3 linked regions of the Notamacropus eugenii genome follow. The protein of the gene in region 3 interacts with the protein of the main gene of each other region in a pairwise test. Links are inferred from orthologs where the notes say so. Each region holds a gene or a part of one and is shown on either strand. Other genes may lie near its edges.

Region 1 (3,744 bases), on a different chromosome or scaffold from region 3:
CACTTATCAATCAATAATCATTCACTCAATCTATATTAAGTAAGGGCCCACTAGGGGCCAATGCCTTTTTGTGACCCTCCTTGTGAGCCCTTTTCAGAATGTAGTATTCCATGTTTCTTGGTCCCAGAGTATGACCTGGTGAATATTGTTAAAAACATGGGCTCATATTTCAAGGAAAAATTTGTCCCAATGAAAAGCAATACACTTTTTCTAAAGGCTTCTTCATGCTTAATTCTTAGCCTAGTTCACTGTCTATCCTCAGTGTATTGATGGACCCACTGTTGAGGTTCTCCATCTCAACTGTAGGTGATAATATGGACGACTAGATAATAATTATAGTTAATATTTCTATAGCCCTTAATGTTTACAAGGTGCTTTACATATAGTATTGCCCTTGATCTTCCCAATCTTTTGAGTTAAGTGCTCTTATGGTCTCTTAAGAGATTGGGAAACTGAGGCAGAGGGAGATTAAGTGACTTGCCCAGGGTCACACACCTAGGAAGTGTCTGAGGTTAGATTTCAATAATAACAACCTCTCTGCTTGTTCCTCACTCTCATGTCATCTCAACCCCTTAGAATTCCAAGTTTCCAGCTTCAAGGATACTTCCTACAGATCTTTTCTGCTCCTTCACCCCCTCCAGCTGCTAGTGTTTCTCCAGAAAAATTATCCAGTATTTATTTGATATATATTTTGCATGCACTTTTTAATGTGGTGGCTCCATTCAATTCAATTTACATTTATTAAGCACCTACTATGTGCCAGGAATCTTGCTAAGCTCTGGGGATACAAAAGAGGCTGTCCCCAGAATATAAATTTCACTTTGTAACCCTAGCTTTGCCGACAATCAATAAGCATTTATTAGGCACTTATTTTGTGTACATCCACAGTGCTCGGCACATAGTAGGTCCATGATAAGCGTAATAAATTCAAATGGATAGCTTGATTCTGCCGTACTCATAGTCACTACTTTTAAGACCTTTGCGCGGCTTTATATATTTCCTGGCGCGTTTATTTCTTGGGTGTACAAAGTGTTACTTCTCCCTCAAGCAGACTGGAAGCTCTCTGAGGGTACAGACTCTCATTGTGCTTTGGTCCCGCCCCTAGGAATCCTCGCAAACTGCAGAGAAGAGGCAGCCGGGGGCCTTTCTCGAGTCCCCAGGCCCCGAGGGTGCTGTGGAAGCGTCCTGGGCCGGGGCACGCCCGCCTCTCCCTCGGCCCCGGGGCCGCCCTGGGCCTGCGAACGCGCATTTGTGCGGGTGGCGCTACTCGGCACTCTACGGTATGTGGGCTGGCCCCAAATCCCCATGTGGTCCCGACATCATTGACATGGCGGAATCCTCCCCCCAAAGCTGCTGCTAGTTATTTTAGCGGCGGCGGCTGGAGGAGGAGGAGGAGGAGGAGGAGGAGGAGGAGGAGAAGGAGGAGGAGGAGGAGGAGGAGGAGGAGGAGGAGGAGGGGGAGGAGGAGGGAGGAGCAGCGGAGGCGGCGGCGGCGGCGGCGGCGGCGGCAGGACGGATTTATCGGGCTGCCTGGCTGGAAGGGAGGGAAGGCAGGCCGGCCGGCAGGCAGGCAGGCAGACAGGCAGGCAGGCAGGCAGGCAGGCAGGCAGGCAGGCAGGCAGAGGGCGACCCCGTCTCTTACGCGCCCCCGGCACCCACCCTGCTCCAGCCCTCGGGAAGGTAAGGAGCGGCCGCCGCAGCGGCCGGGAAGGGTGGGCGGGCGGGAGCCAAGGAGCAGCCCCAGAGCTCAGGCTGGCGGCGGGGTCCCGCGCCTGGCCGAGGCGTTGGAGGAGCGGGACTGCCCCGGAAAGCCCCGGAGCCGAGCCCAGTCCCGCTAGTTGGTTCCAGGGAACCCTTGGGGTTTCGGGGGGACGTCCTCCTTTCTGAGCAGGAAAACTTCAGGCTTAAGTGGCGAGGCTGCGCTGGAGGCGGAGAGGGGCTGGGGTGCCCCGAGCCTCCCGCCCTCCCCCTTTCCCACCCCACCCCCACTTTCCGGGCTGGGGGAAGCTGGTGGGGGGGATACACCCGGGAAAGGGGGGCTGGGGATGGAGATGGGCGCCTACCGAAGTGTGAAAAGTGTGGGGGGGGAAGCATTTAGTGCGAAGATTCCTTCCCCTTCCCCCAATCAGTGCTTTGCCAAAAAACATTTTTCCAAGAAAAAGAAAAACCGGCCAATTTTAATTTCTTCTACGTTGTGCCTGCTCCCTGCTCCCTGCTCCAGCGCCCTGGCACCTCTGTCCCCCGCCCCTGGGTCCCCTGTCTCTGAGATCCCCCGCCCCCCATCTCGGTGTTAGGATCGTTGCCTGAAGGGGAGGGGAAAAGAGGGGAGGGGGTGCGGGGGGGGGTGGTGGAGGGAAGAAGGCTGCAGCGGAATCTTCGACGTGTCACTTTCCATATGGTGTGAGGGTTCAGCCCAGACCCATGAAAGAGCGCAAAGTGTTGCTGAAGTTTGGACGACTTTTGTGTGTGCGCCGGGGGGCGGGAGGGGCCCTCGGCGGGGCGGGCTCGGGAGGTGAGGATGCCTCTTTATTTTCTCCCCCTTTCTCTCCCCCCCCCCGTTCCTCCCTTTGCCGGGCTTTGTAGCCGGGGTGGGCTTTGGGTGCCGGGGCGCTGGGGGTTCCATGGCTACGGGCGTGGGAGGAGGGCCTGAGCGCTACAAAGTAGCCGTTTGCGGGACAGGAGGCTACAAAGTAGCAGTTTTTCGAACCTTCGCCGCTCGCCGAGCCCGGGAATCCCGGGAGACTCCTGGGGCGCAGCGGGACTCCCGGGCTCGGGTCTCCGGGTCAGGGCCCTGACATTTACTTACAATGCTCCCCCGCTCCTTCCACCCCTCCTCCCCCCTGGTCCCCCCTCCCCCCGCCAAATCCTTTCCTCCATATCTTCATTTCCCCGCTTTCTGGGTGTCCTCCTTGCGTCCCTGGGCTGCTTTTGGAAAGCCGTCGGCACTGTAGGGGTTGTTCCCAACTTGTAGAGTTGGGAAAGGGGTGAACGGTCAGAGGACCCTCCCGCCTCCCTCCAGCTCCCTTCCTTTCGCCTTCGGCCCCCAGTTGGGGGAGCTCAATCTGGTTGGGGAGGGAGGAGGAAGAGAATCTGTGCCCTGAGGCAGGAGCGCTGAGAGCTGGGGAAGAAGGAGGGAGGGACGCGGAGGCTCCTAGGGGCCCAGAAAGCTGGAGCCTAGGCTCGGGTCGCGGGTCCTGGCTGGGGGCTGCACTCACTCTTCGGCCCGAGGTGTTGGGCCTGGGCCTGGGGCTGGGGGAGAAGCACCGGGCACTGTAGAGAGTGGGATCGGGGGGCTGAGGATGAGGATGGTGCGGGAAGGGTCTGTCACTCCAGTGCAAAAAAATGGGGGGAAAAAGCCGGAGGCGTTTTGTGGCTCCAGCGGAGGCCCGAGCTCTCCGCGTAAACTTTTCCAAAATGTCTGGATACGGGGGGGAGAAGGAGACTGGGGACCGAGCCAAGGCAACTTTTCTACCCAGATGAGTTTGTGCCTCATGGAAAAGGGGTCTGAACCTTGGTTTGCAAGATATCGCCCAGTTGGAACACTTGTTGAGCTGGGCTGGACTCGGGCAGTAGAGATGGGGGGATGGGGATTTTTTCTTTGGAGTAAGACTTTGTCTTAAGCCCTCGCTCTGCCATCCCAGACGAAAAGAAAGAAATGGCATTTTACCAAGACATATTACGGTTTGCGGACTCTTTTAAAAGTTAACCACCCTTCCCCCCCCCCCCCCCCAGTGTTTTTCTTTA
Region 2 (3,744 bases), on a different chromosome or scaffold from region 3:
GGATGGATAAGTGGCAGACTCTACAAACTCTAGCCACACCCCAAATAAAAGACGGAAATATTGATCTCTACACAATACCCACCACAACAACTCATGAAGTAAACGTCCAGATCCCCTTCCTCGATTTTTGTCAAAAGCATAAGCAAAAATTTTAGCACCATTTCCATCAGCATCTACTTCCATTCGGGCCTGGGATAGGACAAGGAAAATACTTAAAATCATCCATCTTGCAACAACACTTCAAAATCAAACTGGTGGAAAAAAGAAATAAAACCATTGAAAATGTTAGCTTAATCCCTAGTATTCTGGGAAAAAAACCATCTGGTCCTCATGGACGTCAGTGGTACAGGGGATAACAAAAACTGGACCCAAATCATCTGCTCCTAAAAACATGGCCATGAAAGAAGAAACCAAAGTTTCTGATACAAATTCTAATTTGAATATAGGATATAGTATAGTTCTACTTGTCAGGGACTACCAAAATTGATCAAAATTAGCTGACTTAGTCATCTCTGGTCTTGAAGTGATTCAGAACTAGCGTTAGTTATTCATCTAGAGGAATCTCATTCCCAGAGTACGAGCAGGAAGAAAGAATATTAAAATGTATTCATAATTTCTCTAGGTTCTTAATGTCCAACCACAACCCAACCCCAGGAACAGACCATTCTCACCTCAAAAGAGTAACTCTCCACCAGTGGGATGTCTTGTTCATCTATCAGCGTGTACTTTGTCTGAAAATTAACCAGACATTGTAAAGAATTACATTTATCATGAACAAAGCTAGGTTAAGACCAACAGTGAAATAATTGCAATAGGAAGTTATGAATCACATTTAAACTCTGAAGTTAGATGGTAACTAAATGTTATTTTAATCACCTTGACTCACCTGCCCTCAATTAGATGAGTAAATAACAAGGGGAGGTAATAATAGTAAGTAAAGGAATTCACTACGGTACTAAATGTTTTGCATAGCACAGGCCAAAAATCAGCACTGTCATCAGACTAAATATAAATGTCTTGGAATGATAGTTATCAGAATCTTCCTCTTCTGCATCAAAAAGATTAACTTAAGTAGAAAAATTTATCAAGACAAATAAACTTCCCATTAAATTTCTTCATGTGTACAGACCTCCAGCCTTCATGTAAATGAAATGGCTTTACTCCCAATTGCCGCCGATGCTTAAGGGGCCTGTCCCCTACTCTACTTGCCTCTCTCATCTATCAAGAGCTAGCCACAAGAGAACCAACCAGGAAGCCACCAGCAAGGCTTTCCTGGACCAGACTTTTTCACCAGACCAGGCAGTCAACAACTAGAACGTGCTGGTGGCACCAGGGAGCAAAAATGTTCACAGGTACCACTGGTGGTTTAATCCATACACAAAATATGTAAAAGGAAGAGGAACAAAACAGAGTGAGAAATCAGGTGAAGAAAACAAGGAGAAAGCAAGAAGAGTAGATAAGAGGTGAGGGGAGGCCTGTTTTTACATGACATTTTACTCACCCTAAAGCACGTACTCTAGAAATGCTAGCTATGAAGAAGATGATGATGGTAAAGTGCCACCTACATCTGGCTCAGGTGCTGCTCCATGGCACTAATTCCCCAGGCTCCCCCTACTGTTCTAGGCCAGTGTGACACAACAGTGTAACTAGTTGCTCACTGGCTTCCCCAGGCAAACTCCTTAGTTCAATCCAGTGACCTTAGCACAGGTAGAAAAAAAATGCACTTATCCTCCTAGTGGGCTTCGCTCGGGCAGCGAAAGGTCACGGGGATCATTCCACAGAACCAGCCAGGAAACCCTGGAACCTGGCACACAACACCTTTTTCCTTTCTTTCAACAAAACAAGCCTTCAAGGAGGCTTGTGCGAGCCAGGCACCCCAGAAGCATTCGGGATCGCGGGAGTTAGACCGCACCTACCCCAAGAAGCAAGCAGCACCAGAGCCGGGGCGCCCCCAGACCCTTCACACCTAAACACCCCTCCAGACTTATGCTGCTGTATCCCACGGAGCCCGGGAACCTGGACGTTCCTCGAAACTTCAGCCGCCCCGGACTGGCCCTCCGCTGGACCACAGACCTCAGCGCTCACGCCAAGAGCCGGAGCGCCCGGGGGTGGGGGGAGTGGAGCAGACAGCCTGACACCTGACACCCCGGTGAGGCTGGAGGACTCGGGCTGCCAGGGTCGGGTGGCCGGGGGTGGGGGGGGCATCCCCGCCGCCCTGGGGCCTCGCTGGAAGTCGGGGGGCTGAGGCCTGGCCAGGATACACAAGCGGCTCCGTACCGGGGGGAGGGAGGAACACCCTGGCGGCGGCCACTCCCGGGCCGTGGGTGGGCGGGCCCCGCGGGGATCAGCAGCCTCGGAGCTCTGGAGCGCGGCCTCGGCTGCTGGACTTCCCCGGCTCGGGGCCCCCCGTGAGAGGCCTCCGTCTCTCTGCGGGCCCTCATGGCGACCGCGGCCTCCGCCCGCTCCGTTCGCCCTCCCAGCCCCGGGCCGCTCACCTTCCCGGCCACTCGGCCGAGCCGCACGATGCCCAGCTTGAAGTCGGTCATGGCCAGGGCCTCCCGCTCGTAGCCGCCACCACCCGCGATCCCTCTCTCCCTCAGGCCGGGGCCGAGGCCGAGGCTAAGGCCCTGGCCGTCGCAGCCGCCGCCGCCGCCACCGCTTCCTCCCGCCCGCCGGCCGGGGCCTGCCACGCGCCGCCACCGCCGCCGCCGCCGCCGCCACAGCCGCCTCGCGCACACAGCCAGGGGAGGGGCGGGGCCGCGCCGCGCGCCGCGCCGCGCCGGACACACCCCCCTCAGCCCTCTGCACTCGGACCAATCAAGAGCCGCACCGCCCGCCGGACTCTACGGACCAATAGGAATATAGGGAGTGCGCCGGTCCACTAAGGGGGAGGGGAAAGGAGGAGGGGAGACCGGAGTCAGCGGAGGACCAAAGGAAGGGGAAAGGGGAGAAAGAAGTGGGGGGGAGGAGCTTCCCGCGCGCGCGCTCCGTTCTGACGTAGTTTTCGCGGGAAGCTTTGTGCTTCGAACCCAGCCGAGAATCTCCATAGGGGTGGAATGGGGCGGAGCAGTGTGGGTGCCCTTAAAGGGGCCGCAGAGTCCCCGAGACATCGAGTCTGGAGTTCGGTCCATGTGGTCTCTCGGGCCGCAGGCACGCTTGCTTGGTCCTCCCTGTCCGGGAGGGTCTGAGTTATACATCTCAGAGCACCCTGGGCGTTCAAGGCCCTCTAGCCCCCCGCCTCATTTTACTTCGAGGGGAGCTAGCCCAGAAGGGGGAGTGCCGGGTCTTAGAGATTCATCGGGACGCCACCCGAGGCTGAGAGCCGGGTCTCCCGGCTCGCGGGAGCCTTTGGCCTCCCTCGTCCCCCGGCCTCCGGTTCCTTTTGCACCGCTCCCTCTGCAGGCCCCCGGCCGTGGTTGAAGCCTGCGGCTTCTCTCAAGCTCCTGCCCTTCCTTCCCCGCCCAGCCCAGGCCTAGCTAGCCCCAAAAGAGGAGGAGGCAGGGGACTTGGGACTGAAAACTATTTCCCTTCACTGGAAAACAACACTTCTTTGTTAGAACGCTGACACTAAATTCGTTTAAAGGCAGTTGTTTCCCCGCGTTTAGTCCTTCCTAACAGCTGGCATTTATGGGGTGCTGACTATGTGCCAGGCGCCTTGCCAAACATTTTACAGTCACTGTCTGGTCTGATCCTCCGTACAGCCCTGGGAGGTAGGTACTGTTCTTATCTCCATTTTACAGATGA
Region 3 (3,744 bases):
TAGCTAACATTTATTTCTATAGCACTTTCCAGCTTTCCAAGCACTTGATTATAAATAAGAAGGGAACCACATATATTTGTTAGAATGAAGTTCCTTGAGGGCAGGGACAATTTTCTTTTAGTATATATCTCTAGTACTTAGTATAGTGACTGATACATGGTAGTATAATGGTTAGACTTAATTATATCAAATGAACAGACTCTGACTTGGAGTCAAAGAAGATCTAAGTTCAAATCCTGACTCAGTCGCTTAACAAGTCACTCAACCTCTCTCTACCAAAGTTTCTTAATCTATAACATGGAGATAATAGCCATCTACCTCACAGGATCATTGTGAAGATTAAATCACAATATACTTAAAGTGCTTTGCAAACTTTAAAGCATCCTAGTAATGTTCATCATCATTAGTAGTAGCGGTACTTGTTTATTGATTATTGACAGACAGATGTGATTCTTGATTATCCAAGAAAATAGAAGGAACAGAATCTAAAATAGCGAATAATCTAAGTCATTTATATCTGGGGTTAGAATGCCACTTTTGTAACCCCATTTAATAAATACTAGCCACATAATCATGGACAAGTCACTTAACCTTTTAATGTCCAAGGATGGGTTGCCTATCTGTATCAATGGAAGGAAGGTCCAAATCAGGAGCTTCTACACAGATGAACTCAAAACTCTGGACAAATTAGGGCTCCTCCATCTAGTATCCTACTTTGAAGTCTCACTGTAGAATGGGGGTGATCTTGGCTTTAAAAGGAACAAGTTCCAAATGGTCTCACTAAAAATGCAAAGAGTTTGACTTGTCTAAGGACCAATCCAGCTAATATAAAATAGTCTCATACTCACCAGATGATTGGCCAATAGATGATTAATTTTTTTAGCCACAGTAATTCAGTAAGCCATGTACTAAGCAATAGAGAGCTTATGGGCCACATGGTTGGCACATTCCCATAAATAAAATTATGGGATTTCGAAGTATTGCAGTATCTAAATACGGATGAGGATAATACTCTGGAGTTCACAACATTCCAAACAATTTAATGACGCTAAAAGCATGAGTCAAGGAGAAGCTGAAGATGAGAAAACACATTGGAATTCACAAAGAACCAATCTAAACGTGTTAAAGGTCTGGTTTTTGGCTTCCCTGAAGCCAGAAGAATCGGTCATTTAGCATCATGATCTTAAAAGGTCTTCCATTTAGGCTGGGTAGCTAAGGCTGAAGATTTATAGGGAATCTCAGTAGAAACAGAAGTCAATAGAAGAGCTGAAATCTAACAAGCAGCTGCCCAGTTTCCCAACCTAACGCTAAGGCTAAGAGTTAAAAGAAGCAACTGCAGATAAGCAGAATAACTCATTCATTGATAGCAAACTCAGCAGAACAGGTAGGATGGCCTGGGATGTTTGCTGCATTAAAAAAAAGACTGGGTCTTCCATTAAAAATAGTAAAAAATAAAAAAACCCAAGAAAGGCTTTCTGTCTTCTGAGATACCCAAGTCTGCTTCCCAAGATAGTGGCAGGAGCACGTGATCCACGATTCAAGTTAAGAACCTTAAGACTCTTCACAGCCATCCCTTCTGCTTCACAAAATACACTCTCATCACCTGGAGGGAAAGGCAGTGCGCCCCAGCACAAACGGACCGGCTCTGAACAGGCCCTTCAGGCTTGTATGGACGTGGAGACTAAACCACGCTGCTTCTTACAGTCACAACACCCTCCCCCCACAAAACCAAGCCAGGTCCAGCCGCTCCGACTACACTTTCCACCTCAGCTCTTCCACAAAACCTCCACCCTGAGGCTGCGTCGTCCGGTGGCTCCAACTGCCTCCCGCAAAACCTCTCGGGCCTCTCTCACTTCTTCCTTCCACTCGAGACCCTCCTGCGGCCTTTCCTCCTCCTCGGCCCGCCCTTCTAGGCTGCGCTGGGCTGTCCGAGAGCGCTTCCCCAGCCCCGGGTCCCCCCCGCCGCCCCCAAGGGCCTGGCGCCCTTCCACCCGCGTTGGCAACAATCTTGCTCACCTCGGCCCCCGACAGGAAGGGGTGCGAGGACCCTGTGATCGTCAGGTAATTGTCATTTCCTCCGGGAAACTGGAAACCAAAAGAAACCCGCGGGGATGTTAGGGGTGGGGGGGGCCGGGGAGTCAGGCTGGAGCGACGGGTTCTGACTCTGCCCCGACCCCCGCCGCCGCCTCCCCCGCTCCTCTCGCCCGTCGGCCGCTTCTCCGCCCAGGCCCCTTCCTCTGCTCCTCTCCCTCTCGCCTCTTTTCTTTCTTTCTTTCTCTCTCTCTCTCTCTCTCTCTCTCCCTCCCGCCTCCTTCGGGCTCAGGATCCTACCTCCATCTTCAACACAACCGCTACCACCGCTTCAGCTCCCTCATAGCGCCCACCGCCCCCGCCGGAAACGGAACACGCGTCACTTCCGCCGACACTCGCGGCTCCCTCCGAGGATTGGAGGATTCTTTGGCAGAAGCGGTGAGTTTGCAGCAGGGAGGCGACTGAGCGGAAATGAGGAGCTGGGCAGCGCCCCCTTCGGCCGGAGGCCAGAATGCCCGCTGGAGGCTCAGAGGCTTCGAGGGAGGAAGTGTCAAGTTACAGCCACACATGACGACTGAACTGCTCCTGAGGAGAGCACTAGAGACGTGATCTCGGGCTAGAGGGACCGGATGGGGAAGTAGAGATATCGCTAGGTCGCGTGGCTAGAGAGGCCGGAGGTGGGTGGCCAGAGAAGTCGGGAGGACCAGCGGTCGGGACCATGACTTACGCTTATCTCTTCAAGTACATCATCATCGGGGACACAGGTACTCGGCCAGCGGGGCCATCCGCTAAACTGAGACTGGGCTCGCAAGCCCAAGGTGGCACCAGGGGAGGGCGGGGCTCGTTGGGGAGGCGGGGCCACCCGGAGGGGCGCTGTCGGGGGCGGGGCCAGGATGGGGGCGGGGCGGGGCGGGGCTGAAGGAGCTCTGGCCCCTTTGCGACACGGGGGGAGCCGACGCCAGCCACACCTGGTGCCTTCCTCTGGGCTGCCCTGCCCACCTCCTCTCTCGGGAGGATGGACCTGAGTCCCCACGTCCTCTTTCAGGTGTGGGCAAGTCATGTCTCCTTCTGCAGTTTACAGACAAGCGGTTCCAGCCTGTCCACGACCTCACCATAGGTAAGGACTTTGTGCCACCCTAAGGAAAGTGGGTGAGAAGTGTGAAGTTAAAAGTTAGCAGCCATGGGCTTCCACTTTTAAGTAGCCAAAAGTTGTGTTAATAAATGGAGAGAAAATGGCGAAGGCAGATTCGTCTCATGGAAAGAGCATGAATTGGGGGTAAATAGATTTGACTAGCTTAGGAAAGTCATTTCATGTCTCTAGAGCTCAGGGTCTCCCTCCATAAAATCAGAGCAGTAACTAAGAGCCCTTCCAGCTTTGAATTCTGTGAGTCTGTGAAAGAGTGCTGTCAAGTGATTGTCAAGTTGGAGACAATAAAAATAACTGACAAAGAAACCAAAGAGTAGCTGCAGTCTGGGTGACCTCGGGCAGCTTGCTTCTCCGTAAGCTTCAGTATCCTCATCTGTAAAATAAAAGGAGTATCCTTCCAGCTTTAATATGTTGTAACGACAAGAGAAAAATTGATTGGTTGGTTTGTGAGTTGTGAAAGAGCTTAGTGAATTCCCGAGTGGCAATATTTGTCATTTTCAGATGCAATGCCTTTTTGCAGGGGTTTAAGAGAAAAATTGTTACTGGTAGTGGCAGAGAAGGAACAA

What was found.
Region 1: the proteins of TOX4 (region 3) and FNDC3B interact in binary tests that used the Homo sapiens proteins (3 or more experiments, as listed by UniProt). The two-hybrid records come from large-scale screens. The link is inferred for Notamacropus eugenii from reciprocal best matches to the Homo sapiens genes TOX4 and FNDC3B.
Region 2: the proteins of TOX4 (region 3) and ZMYND19 interact in binary tests that used the Homo sapiens proteins (3 or more experiments, as listed by UniProt). The two-hybrid records come from large-scale screens. The link is inferred for Notamacropus eugenii from reciprocal best matches to the Homo sapiens genes TOX4 and ZMYND19.

What each region holds. Positions count from the first base shown.
Region 1 is NC_092877.1:352,137,712-352,141,455, reverse strand, and holds the start of FNDC3B (fibronectin type III domain-containing protein 3B), read left to right. Parts: upstream 1-1,490; 5' UTR 1,491-1,680; intron 1,681-2,365; exon of another isoform or gene 2,366-2,512; intron 2,513-3,744. UniProt on the Homo sapiens protein: May be a positive regulator of adipogenesis.
Region 2 is NC_092872.1:494,372,047-494,375,790, reverse strand, and holds the start of ZMYND19 (zinc finger MYND domain-containing protein 19), read right to left. Parts: upstream 2,733-3,744; 5' UTR 2,547-2,732; coding exon 2,496-2,546; intron 732-2,495; coding exon 672-731; intron 190-671; coding exon 83-189; intron 1-82. UniProt on the Homo sapiens protein: May be involved as a regulatory molecule in GPR24/MCH-R1 signaling.
Region 3 is NC_092878.1:12,453,378-12,457,121, forward strand, and holds the start of TOX4 (TOX high mobility group box family member 4), read right to left. Parts: upstream 2,620-3,744; 5' UTR 2,338-2,619; coding exon 2,332-2,337; intron 2,086-2,331; coding exon 2,017-2,085; intron 1-2,016. Other genes in the region: RAB2B (ras-related protein Rab-2B), read left to right, coding at 2,750-2,795, 3,077-3,148. UniProt on the Homo sapiens protein: Transcription factor that modulates cell fate reprogramming from the somatic state to the pluripotent and neuronal fate. In liver, controls the expression of hormone-regulated gluconeogenic genes such as G6PC1 and PCK1.